3 linked regions of the Rattus norvegicus genome follow. The main gene of each other region encodes a partner of the protein of the gene in region 3 in a complex. Links are inferred from orthologs where the notes say so. Each region holds a gene or a part of one and is shown on either strand. Other genes may lie near its edges.

Evidence for each region. The genes of interacting proteins can lie anywhere in the genome.
Region 1: Timm21 (region 3) and Timm17a share a complex: the UniProt entries of both Homo sapiens proteins name them as parts of the TIM23 complex. The link is inferred for Rattus norvegicus from reciprocal best matches to the Homo sapiens genes TIMM21 and TIMM17A.
Region 2: Timm21 (region 3) and Smim20 share a complex: the UniProt entries of both Homo sapiens proteins name them as parts of the MITRAC (mitochondrial translation regulation assembly intermediate of cytochrome c oxidase complex) complex. The link is inferred for Rattus norvegicus from reciprocal best matches to the Homo sapiens genes TIMM21 and SMIM20.

Annotation. Positions count from the first base shown.
Region 1 is NC_086031.1:49,291,605-49,295,622, forward strand, and holds the start of Timm17a (mitochondrial import inner membrane translocase subunit Tim17-A), read right to left. Parts: upstream 2,801-4,018; 5' UTR 2,797-2,800; coding exon 2,771-2,796; intron 1-2,770. UniProt on the Homo sapiens protein: Essential component of the TIM23 complex, a complex that mediates the translocation of transit peptide-containing proteins across the mitochondrial inner membrane.
Region 2 is NC_086032.1:61,932,733-61,936,874, reverse strand, and holds the start of Smim20 (small integral membrane protein 20), read left to right. Parts: upstream 1-1,342; 5' UTR 1,343-1,438; coding exon 1,439-1,553; intron 1,554-4,142.
Region 3 is NC_086036.1:80,591,438-80,595,544, forward strand, and holds the start of Timm21 (mitochondrial import inner membrane translocase subunit Tim21 precursor), read right to left. Parts: upstream 2,801-4,107; 5' UTR 2,588-2,800; coding exon 2,290-2,587; intron 682-2,289; coding exon 619-681; intron 531-618; coding exon 433-530; intron 1-432. Other genes in the region: Fbxo15 (F-box only protein 15), read left to right, coding at 3,270-3,439. UniProt on the Homo sapiens protein: Participates in the translocation of transit peptide-containing proteins across the mitochondrial inner membrane.

The sequences.
Region 1 (4,018 bases), on a different chromosome or scaffold from region 3:
TAAGCTTCAGTTTGCATCAGATCCGTTTAACACACTAGAATATTATTTGACAGTTAGAAGTTAACCCAATATCCAAATGCAGCTCCCTAACTTAGACAATACTGAAATCTGAGTAATCTGACCAGGAGAGTAAAACCACTCACTCCTCTAGGGATCTGGCTAATAAAAGTCTGTATAGAATCCAGGATCTGACACATCCAGCATCTCCAGCCTTGTTAAGGATTTATATAAACTTCTTTGTTATCACTCACACACACACACACACACACACACACACACACACACACACACACACACACACACGGTAAATTCTCTTTCAACCAACTCAATAGAGCTGTAATTCTTCCACCACCATCTCCTTCCAGTAAGAGGCTGGGAGTCTAGTCCACTGCTGGCACCCATTACTCACCGTGTTTCAAACCTAAATGAATTCTGTGAAACAAACACTAAGACTGTTGTTTCTATGTGAGTGCATGCTGCAGCCCAAGCTGGAGAACGTGAGGAAGTCACAGCTCTGGAGCACATAACCACTAGCATACCATGTGACACAAAATAGAGGACCCTAGCAAACTAGTAGGAATGGGCCCGAAATAGGGTAGTGGCTGCTTCCCACCTTTACAGAAGTCTCCTCAGGCTCTGGCAGCCTGGCACCTCCTCATGGTGACAGTGGGATGATTGGCTACTCCAGAGTTCCTGTCAATTCTCCATTAGTCCGAAGGCTGTATAAAATGCTTGCTGCTGTGCAATACAGTAGATCTGCACCTTGATGCAGGGATCTGGAGTCTCTTTTCCCAGCTTAGGGGCTCTACCTCCCTCACCCACTCCTGGATCCTGGTTCCCACACACATGCTTTTTGGGTAAGCCCGAGAGGCTTCCTCAGGCTTATAAACAGTTTCACAAAGTCTAAAGTTAGCAGCAACAACAACATAAAAGCGGTCTGTAAGTAGCACATCCATTAGAAGTAGAAGAAATTCTCAGTGTGTCAGTCTCAAGAGATAGGCACTTGGGAGAAAGGCAGGAGGATCAAGACTCAGAGACCAGCCCAGGCTACATAGTAAAACCCTGTCTTAACCTCCAATCTATGATCCTTCCCTACAAAAGACAAGCACTATAGTGCACAGACCCTGGCAATCGCTATAAAAACAGTATGCTTTTAAACTTACCATTATTGCTTACTAGAATCTGAATAATAAACTATTTTGTGGTTTAGAATTCATAGTCTTTTACCTTGACAAAAAGTCTGTGACTATCTCCTCTGCGTTTTACAAATGAACAAAGACTCAGACAGAAATTAAGCAGCCTGCCCAAAATCAACTGAGTGAGTAGTACAGCCAACTTAAGCACAAAATTTGGTACTCTAAACGCCCTAAACTCTTTCCACTATATTTATATAGTCTAAAGACAACAAATGATAAAAGAAGTATTATGACAATGATTAAACCCATTTACTGTTTCAGACAGTGCAGGCTTCAGGACATACTAAGAAAAGGAATGTCCAGCGACTTTATTAAACACTAAGACACGGTCTTGCAATGTATCCTGGGCTGGCCTGGAACCGGCAACCCTCTTGCCTAAGTGCTGAGATTACATGCACTCCTACTGCTGAAAATATGTGTGAAACAAGGTCTAACCTGGCTGGCCTAGAACCTGCCCAAGCTGTCCTTAAACTTGCTGGTTCTCCTGCTTCTACCTCATGAAGTGTGGGTTACAGGCCTGTGCCACCTGACCTGGGGAAAAACTCAGCAACTTATAAAATCTTTAATGCAACAAAATTACCCTCTCCTACCAATCTGTGTCATTATATGGTATCCAATACCAATTTACAGTCCAGCTAAACCCTGCATATCCAACCTCAACACATGGAGATAACCTTCTCTGGAGGACAGAGGGTTCAAACATACTTTTGGGGGTGCCACCAAATAATAATTTAAAATCCTGGGCAGATCCACTATTTGAGGATAATACCCTGACTCTCATTACAAACAAATACAAACCCAGAATAACCTAAATATCAAGATCTAAATCTGCTTGTGACCCCTGAGGCTTTATTCAAAAAAACTTGAGAGACTCAACAGCTATTACACTAACTTTCTATCTTGCTATGCCTGATTTACTCTTGTTTACTCCTTGAGCCAAGCACACAGCCCTCACTTAATAAACGCTTAATGGATGAATTTATTTCCGTTCGTGGCTTTTCGGAGAACATACACAGCTCATCTCCTTCTATTTTCCACAAACTGATTTATCTCTTTTTGTCCGGGAATTCCACGCAGGAAAAGCCGCTCCAACCCACAAGAGCTCATCCAGACCCCTTGGACTGTGGATGAAATTCGTGGTCTACTCATTTGAAATGCTTCATCATGGAAACACTTATGACCATACACACAAGGCCTCAAGTATGGCACTCGGAGATCTACATTCCCTTCGTCGAAGCTAGAACTGAGCAGAGCGAGGCCCAGGGACGTGTTCAAGGTCCTCAGCCGGCAGAGGGGAGCATTATTGTCCCCACACAAGGTCGACAGCACCTGCCCTAGGGAGGAGGTTCCAAAGCTCCACCAAGCCGGGCACCGGACCTCCTCCCTATGCACAAGGTCATCGGGGTGCTGAGTTCCCGCACACTGCATTAAAAAGCCACCTTGGTCACGCTCATTCGCGCCACCCACAGCTGCCCAGCTCTCGGAGCCATGCGGCGCGGACCTCCGCTTGCACTTCGAACTCCGACCACAGCGGGCGGAGGGGGTAAGGGACAAGGGCGACGGCGGCAGCTCACCACGGCTCTCTCGCGTACTCCTCCATCTTGGCTCCAACCCGCGCGAGAGTGTAGGGCACGCTAGGCGGAAATTGATCCCCGCGACGGAAGTGATCCCAGGCGGAGGCGTGTTACTGGACGAGGATTGGGTCATCATTCCCCTCCGCAGCCAATAGCAATCGAGCTCCGCTCCCCCGCCAGGCTGTGGAAGGTTTGAGGGTTCGGAGTACAGCGACGGAGTTCAGGTTACCCCCGTGGCCTGGGATAAACATTTATTGTTCTTTTTTCCCCCCTTTAATCCCTGAGACAGAGTTTCTCTGTGTAACTCTGGCTGTCCTGGAACTCGCTTATGTAGATCAGGCTAGCTTCGGACTTAGAGGTGAGCTAACCTCAGCCTCCCGAGTGCTGGGATTAAAGGTGTGTGTCACCACTCCCCACACGCTGTTTTTTGTTGTTTTTGGATTGTTTGTTTTTTTTTTAAGTACTTTTGCTGTTTATTAATATTCCTACTTAATTTGCCGTGAATAGTGACTCTTTTTTTTTTTTTTGAATAGTGACTCTTTAGAAAATATATGAAGCTCTTGTAGGGGAGAACTGTTTGGTCATAGCGTCTGGAATGTAATATATAACTTTTTTAATAAAAATTCTTTTTATTACATTTATTTATGGATTTATATCCAGGATCTGGTGGATGCATAGAGGTCTGAGGAGAACCTACAGAACTGGAGTTATCAGGGTTGACAGCGAGCACTTTACCACTGAGCCAACTCACCAGGACGAAAATAAGTGTGCCTCTTACAGAGCTACTTGGACCATTTCAGGGGCCGTGACCAATTTGCGACCATTGATTTTGGGAGTTATTGATGCAGGACCCTCTTCCATGCCTCTCTACAAAGGATACCCAGAAAGCACGAGCTATGTTTAGCCCAGAGAAAAGAGACTAAAAATAGGGCTAAAGTCATACTTAAATTGGTAAAAGGTTTGCCTAGCAGGCACAAAACCCTGAGTCAGATCTCCAGCGTCACATACTCGGGTATGGTGGTACAAAGTGAAGGCATCGGTTCAGTGTTATATCCTCAGTTGCACGTGGAGTTCAATGCCAGCCTGAGATGTGAGACCTCCCTGGTTAAGGAAAAAACACTAAAAGCATGAAATTCTATCAGCCTAATTTTAACTACTATCAGGAAAACTTAGTCACTGTGCCAGCTGTGAAGGGAGTTTCTATCCATTCCACCTTTTCTTTTTCTTTCTTTCTTCTTTTTTTTTTTT
Region 2 (4,142 bases), on a different chromosome or scaffold from region 3:
AGTCATCTTACTGCACAGTCATTTGTCTTCCTCCCTGCACTTCCGTTGCCCTTGGGACTACATCAGTCATCGGCAACAGGCTGCATCCAGGATTAGTTATCTTTTCATGTATTTGTTCCGTGGTCGGATCCTGGAGAGCAGAGGTCATGTCTTATTCATCTTGTGTCCCCCTTTGCACTTTGCCTGCTGTTCGGGGGGCATAGTGAGATAGTCTATAAATCTGTTGACAGATTGAACGACTGATTTATATGCTGCTAGAGCCAGAGGTAGATGGAATCTTGATTCGACTACAAAACTACAGAGAAAAAGACCTGTGTTCACCACATCATTTCTGAGAGATTGCTGATCTTCTCTGGACTAAATAATGTTGCTGAGGTCAAGATAAATACCTTCTGTGAAGCCCAGCCTCGCTACTGCTGTCATTTCTATTTCTAAGGGATTGAGTGAAGGCCAGAGGAATGTTGGTCTTAGCTGCCCAGCTCCCTGAGGAGATCATATCTTCTGACGAAGGCTCTGTAAAAGGGAACAGGTGCAGAGGTGGGGGAAAGCGATCGTGGGACGAGGGAGCAGGTGTCAGTCTTCAGAGGCTCCGCCCCAGGCAAAGAGCCAGAGCCCTAGGGACCTGCCACTGACTCTGTGATGTTCCCAGGCTTTAATAGATTTTGTTTGCAGCCCTCTGTTAGTTTTGGGAATTCCTGTCTACTTTCTGGAACCCCTCATAACCCAGCACACATAACATGGAGAGCAGAGAGGATGAGGGATCAAAATTAGATCACTTTGGGTGCTCAAATACCCTCCTTAAAAGGCTGCTCTGGTTCAGAAGACACAGTGACTAATTTTGCAAATGCCTTGCAATCCATTCGAACCAGGAGATTTGTTCCTTTGTGACTCGTGCCCACAAACAACTTTCAAAGAGGGAGACCCAGTGACTTGCTCAGCCTTTCAGATGCTTCTAGCCTGTCACCAATCACAAATGTCACAATGTTAATGAAGGGGAAGGGTGAAAAAGTGTTGTTGGTAATAGACGAGTAAAACAGGAGGTGGTAATTGGAGCAGAGAAGGAAGGACGCAGACCCGAGGCGAGTAAGAGGTCAAAAGGGGGCTCGAGAAAGGAGTGTAGCCAAATTTGTGACTGCACGGGCCACCCAGTGTCTCGCCCTCCACGCAGTCAGCCTGAGGCGAGGAGGCGGGGCTCGGTTTGAGTCTCCGCCCCATGCCTCGCCCTTCCTAGAAGACCCCGCCCTCAGATGATCCCGCCCCACTGCGAGGAGTCTTTCAGCCCAGGCCCCGCCTCCGAGCCCAGAAACTCCGCCCTGCACCCAAATCCCGGAAGCGAGAGTTGCTCCGCCTCTTCCGAGCCGGGTCGCGACCTTGAGGCTGGGAGTCGGGTTTCGGAGCGTGCCGGGCCTTCGCCCGCCCTGCAGCCCCCTTTCTCACCATGGCCGCGGCCCGGAACCTGCGCACCGCGCTCATATTCGGAGGCTTCATCTCTATGGTCGGAGCCGCCTTCTACCCTATCTACTTCCGGCCCCTTCTGCGGCTGGAAGAATACCGTGAGTGACCTCTGACCCCGCGCAGTGGCTGCTCCCAGCGCTACCCCGAAGTCTTTAAGCCCCTACCCTAACTGTTCAAGGAGTACTGAGGAAGGAGGTGGACTTAGGAGTGAGGCTACCCAGGGTCCAGGCTCGCCCAGTGCAGCCCGGTGATCTCGGACAAGTGGCCCCACCTCCGACCTTCAATGTTAAGAGTCTAAATAATCAGTTGCAGGATCAGCCACAGAACTGGAGCATCTTAGGGGTCACAGAGGTGATGTGTATGAAAGCAGCCTGCACACAGCAGGTCAACACTAACACTAGTTCACACACAGTTACTATATACTGAATATTTAATGTGTCAGGTTAGTCATATATCGAATCATTGAATTTGCACAGCCTTCCCTTGAGGTAGGTACTACCCATTTTACAGATGGAGGTCACACAGCTAGTAAGTGGTGGGGGAAATGTTCCAACCCAGTCTTCTGCCTGCAGAGCCCTCCCCTCCATTCACCCAGGCTGAGATGGTACTTTAGTGGGAGCCTTGATCATCCTGAGTTGAAAGGTGTTTTTATGGTGCATCATTGCCGTCCCCTAAGATGTCTTGGAGCGGAAATATTTCAAAGCTAAACTGTTAACCTGGGTTTTGAGTTTTTCCTCAAATCGTTTTTTTAGATTCTGCTGGTTTCCTTCGTTTTAAGCTGGTTGCTCACATGACAATGGTGAATGCCGGGGGAGTCATTTTTTTCCTTAATCATTCAGGTCCTATCATTCTAAAAGCCAAACTCTCCTTCCTGGAGACCTATACCTCAGCAAGGATTAGCACTTTGATACATCTGAAGCCATCTGTCAGAGAGGAGAGATGAGGCATTAGAGGATCATTTTGTTCTCCAGGAACCTGAACCATCTTGAAGATGAAGAGGGCCAGCCCAGCCCCCTGGGGAATATTAGCCGGAGCTGAAGCTTGGCGGTTTGACGCTTCATGTAAATGCTCTGACCATCTCTAGTGCTGTAGCACTTGGGTTCCAGAGGCAAAGCAGTTTCAAGTACACACACGAATCCCCTGGCAGCAGCTTTTTACCAGCTCAGACTGAGACGGTCTCTGTGCTTCCTGCCTACAAGTCCTTCTGCATACCCCGTGTGTGGAAGGAACATGGGCTGTGTAGGGTCCTGCAGAATTCGTCTCCATCCTTTTCCCTTGCTGGGTCCATGCCCCGGGCTATTTTATTACAGCTTCTAGAGTTGGACTCGAGACAGAAAGATCTGCTGTGGGTTCCCTTCGAAAACTCCCAGTTCTGAAAACGGGTATGGTTCTTAGCCAGTGTGCTATCTATCTGGAGTTGGTTTTGCTTGTCACAGCTAAGGGACAGAAGGGGAGGTGAGTAGGTTATTAGTATCTACTAGATAGGATCCAGGATAAATTTTCCATGATGCACAGAAGTCACCTGTGAGGAAGCATCAAAGGGTGAGGGCTGCCCAGCTCTTAATCAGTGAGTCAAGAGGAGACATGGCTTCCAGGAATACTCCCCAGTCTTTGGCTGACCAAGTTGCTTTAGACGGGCAGGTCAGGCTCCAAGGCTGTCCATACCCGCTTACCTTTTAGCTTATTAAAATAATTCAGCCAACTTTAACCAAAAGTTGTAACTAAATCTTTCAAGAAAGTCATACTAAACAGCTAATTTTTATCTGAAGTTAATTTTTAACACCCTTCCAAGCACTTCAACTCTACCAAGCCATTTAGTGCTCATAATAACCCTTTGTGGTAGCTGTTAGCTGAATGACATATAGACAGGGTATTTCCTCACTCTGAACCTTGCCCCCCCCCCCAGCCCCCTAGGCTGTGGTGATGGTGTTTACTGAACTGAATTTACAGGCTTAGGGTGAATTAAGTAGAGCATTACTTGTAGAAGTCTCTAGTATAGTCTCATATGAGGAATTGTACAAAAAGCACTTTTAAAAGAGGGCTTTGGTGAGGGACGAGCTATAAGCAGTTGTGTGCCTAAGGCCAGCGACCCAGCCCTAAGCATGTCCAGCTGGCTCAACGTATGCTCAGGAACTGGGAGCCTGCTGTGCAGGTGAGCTTCTCAGCCCATTTCAATCCTCAGTATTTATAGTATTTCACTGCTTTCCTTTCATATACTCAGCCTGGATTTTAGCTGTCACTTGGGTCTGGTACAGTTTAGATGTGGGGCAGAGCTGGGCTGACCCCAGTCTCTTCCCCTGCCACCCTTCTCACTCCGTCCTGGCCATGTGCATCTTGTGTAGTGTTTTAGCCCAAGCATTCTCTGCCCCTTTACTCACTAACATCACTGTTTTATCTTTACTCACCAACTCTTCGTCTTTCCCATGCGCCCCTCGTGCTTTTCTTGTGTGCATTATTATTTTCTTTTTCTTAAAGCTGAAAAGAAATGTGTGCTGTTGAGAGGGTGGATGTATGGCAGCTTATGTGTGTCAATTTCGGAGGACAACTCTGGAGTCATTTCTCCCCTGTTTTAACATAGGCTGTGGGGGTTGGATTTAGGTCATTGGGCTTGCATGGTAAGTGCTTTACCGGCTGAGCTGTCTTGCTGGCCCCGGTTGAGGTCTTTCTGAAATACACCTGGTACTAGT
Region 3 (4,107 bases):
CCAGCTAGGAAGCTACGATCCTAATAATACTTCATTCTTTCATGTATCCTGTACGGTTCTACTTGTGTTAATCTGAACATGCCCGAGAGACTGAGCCTGGGATTACTAAAACAGTTGGGGTGCCTCCTGGAGACCACTCTTCCCTGGATGCCCACTGACTACAGTGGAGTGCCCTAAATGTAGTCTCTGTCAACTTTTAACTCTCTCAGCTACACTCTGTGGTTTAGGACACAAAACAAAGGATGCCAGAGACACTGGCATAGCGGGGAGGAGGAGAGCGTGCGCAGTGACCTTTGGGTGCTAGGGTCAAAGTGCCTCAGAGAACAGAGACCTAAAAACAGAAAAGCAACCCACTGCCTTAGTACAGTGTGGAGGCATGGGCTTCACAAGGGATTCATTCCTCCTCCCCCACACGATCATCAGAAAACTAACCTCAGGGTGTGTTCTGCATTTCCCTAAGGCTTTCCCATAGATGATGTTAGGACTGGATGAGGAAAACAGTTCTTTGAAGATCGTATATAACAAGCTGCCTGAAAAAGCAGAGGGAGAACGCAGTGAAGCGAAGCAGTAGGGTGAGAGGCTGTGGAAAGGTATTCAAGTGCTTGCTGGGTCTGTAACCTGTAATGCTGACTCCAAAGAGCACCACTATCAGGTAGGTGACGTCTCTCCCGGCTTCTTTCACTGCAAAGAGAAAACGTCAATAAGTTACACGTGTATCCACAGAGCTGTGGCCTCTGGAGGCTTCAGGTGTTCCTAGCAGGGAGCAGTTGGGTCCAGACCTAGAGCACTGCTCTCAGTAGCTCATCTCAAATGCTCCCAAGCTTCAGAAGAACCCCTCACTCCAGTGCAAACCAGGCCTAGTTCTGCTTAGCTCCCAAGGCCAGAAGAGAACAGACCTGTTTAGTGTGGCCTGGCTATGCACGGGGCCTAGGAACCTCTGGATTTCTGTCGCTGATAGATACTGCTTCTGTTCTAGTAACGTAAAACCCTTATCGATCTCTCAGAGTGAGAATGGTCACAAGATGAGGCAACGTGTACACAGGTCTATCCTGTCCAGATCAAGGCAACTCTTAACCCATCCCAGAGACCCCACTGAGTGGTGCACAAAACCAAAGAACTGAGCTTGGAATTGAAATGTAGTTGGTTGGGAAGATTGATGAATCAAATAAACTTACAGAGATTGTTTTTATTTTTTTCTGCACTAAGTAAGTATATGAACACATGGATTAAAGAGCAGTTTGGGGAGATAAGGTAATCAATCAAAGGGGAGTGAGTACAGACACATTATTTACATAAATGCATGTTATATGTGAAGAGCTACATCACAAGCAAAGTCTGATTATGAGAGCGCTTTACTTCTTTGGTCATTTATATGTATGTACAGTCACATGAGGAACCCAGATTTTTCTAACTTCAGTCTTTAAATTTTTATTTTTTCCAAGAAATCAAAGTTTAACAAGTGGTATTTTTTTTCCCTCTACTTTTTTCATAGGTACAATGACATATAATAAAATTACTTATTTAGAAGTCATTTCTAGAACATACTTTTGGTTTTTCAGTACAGGCTGTGAACTTGAAATGTGTTCAGGGGGCTGGAGAAATGGCTCAGTGGTTAAGAGTATTTGCTGCTCTTGTAGACATCCAGAATTCAGTTCCCAGCAACCATATCTGGTGGCTCACAATTGCCAGTAACTTCAGCTTAGGGGCATCTGATGACTTTTTCTGGCTTCCTTCTTTACCTATACTCATGTGTATACACACACACACACACACACACACACACACACACACACACACCAGCAACACTAGCAATAATAAACAAATCTTTAAAGAAAACACTACTTCAAATAATAGAAAGATTGTCATCTACCAAAAATCGTAGATATTATGGGACTGATCTCAGCAGTAATTGCTTCACAAATCCTATCTCTTTACCAGGCTCTGAGCTGAGGGCTGGAACACGAATCTTTCTATTCCACTGTCCATAATGTCATAAACTACATATCAGTAGACACCGCATGAGGCCCCAAATTGAGAGGACAATAACAACTAGACTAAGACATAACCATATTTTTTCCTGCAATCCCAAATCAGGTCATTGGCCTAAACGCCTCAACCTCCTGTTCTCCCCAACACTCTGTCGTGACCTAATAATTTCCTATTCCTTGTGTTTCTGCAGTTCTCCACCTCTCTTTCAGTAGGTCCTATACTGGAGTGCAGACACTCCCAGAAGTGGGGAGCACAGGAGCTGACAGTCTTAAGTCCTAGATACTATTTTTTTCTTTTTACCTTTCTGAGATGTTGAGACACCGGTTTCCTCTCTTTGATTCCTGTTAATAGACACTTGCTTGCTACTGTCCTCCTTTGCTTTCCGGGGGTCCGGTCCTTGTGTCCAGAAGGTTTTCTGGGTGAACCCAAGGACAGTTCTAGGTTGCACTGTTTTCTTCTGCTCTCGCAGCCCCCATCTCAAAGGCTGGGTTTTCAAGCAAGCTTTGGTGAGTACAAAGTGTGGCAACAACAACTGCCTGCCCAACGACCCGTGCAGCTTCTCCGCATGCCGAACAACTCGTAGAAAAGCACAAATCATGTTCACAAACACTGTGAGACTTCCGAACTGCAACTTCTAAAGGTTCGTAATCCACACACTCAGGCGGACAAGACGTGAAACCAAACCATTCACATTACATCCTGTGTCAGGCGAATATCAAGATGAATAATCTACAAGAGAAGTTAGGTACACTTTATTTTTTTTCTCTCTCTTGAATTAAAATGCCCTATTTACCGTCCTACTGACATTCACATCTTGCCCGCCATGCTTTCGCAAAGCATCCCGGGAAACACCAGACATCCCGGGAATCGCAGTTTAATGGCTTCACACTTTCCTGTTCAACTGCAGGAAAGGCAGGCAGGATGGACTACATCTCCCATAATGCCATGCAACAAGAAAGGGCCCATCCTGTTTTCTCAGACGCTTCTGCGCGGATCGTTGCGCGTGCGCTGTGGCCCGGTTGAGGCAGGCATGTTATTGGTATCCCTGGTTCAATGGCCTCTTGGCTTAGACAGAACTTGCAAAAGTCGGATTAGTTGCAAATTGCGTGTCCTCATAGTCTTTTTATAGAGGACTGTGTCAACTGGGAAGTTCATGTCGTGGGTTTGCCATAGTTATTAGAAAGTGACAATTTCAGCGCTTGTTTCTTCTCAGGAAGACAGTTAGCAAACGTAGCTGAGCCGGGCCATAACAGGCTAATGGGCCAAGAACCGGCGTCAGAATGACTGGGGCGTGGGAAAGAAGCCGGGCCCGGGATTGTCCCGAACAACGACGTTCGAAGAGCAAAGGAGGTGTTCACAGAGAAACCCAGTCTACGCATGCGCGAGCCCGGTCCGGGTTTTGCGCACGCGTGAGGGGCAGTGCTGGGCTTCTCTGTCGCTCCTCCAGAAGGTACCTTTGGGTCTCCATGGCGACCGGACGCGGTCGGATGCTGAGGCCTGGAAGTTTCGGCCTCCAGGCTCTGCGAGGGTCCCTTCATGGTGGGGGCACTACCTGGGGCAGCGCGGGGCTGGCCGCGGGGCGCTCCGGGTTCAGGTGACGCTCGGGGCTCACGGGTGGGTCTCTTCAGTATCCCACCCCACAGCTCTTTCTAGTATCAGTTCTACTATAGCATGTGACTCCTGCTACTTTTAAACGCGGGAAACATTAGAATGGCAGAGGGAAACCTGTCTATCCTGGAAACTAGGGTACCTCAAGTTAGAACACAAGTAAAGTTACTTCCTAAGGAAGTGATGTATGTTACCAAGCATTCCATTCATTCATTGGTAGGCCCTATGGCTCTAAGGCTATTTTCAGTTCCTGGGAGACTACAGTAGTGCACATGTGAAGACAGGAGCGGACCTACTGCTCGCCCGGAACAAGGCTTTTATGTAGTATTCTTGCATTTTAGTGATTTTAAAATGAGAATCAGCCGTAGAGCTTTTAAACTCGGAGTAGAAAGTATTCATCAAAACCTAATGCTAAACAGGACATTTTGTGCACCTCTCCCACCATGCCAAGTTTTCTAGACAGTCACATTTTGTTATGCAACTCTGTTCTGGTTCGTTGTATTCCCATTA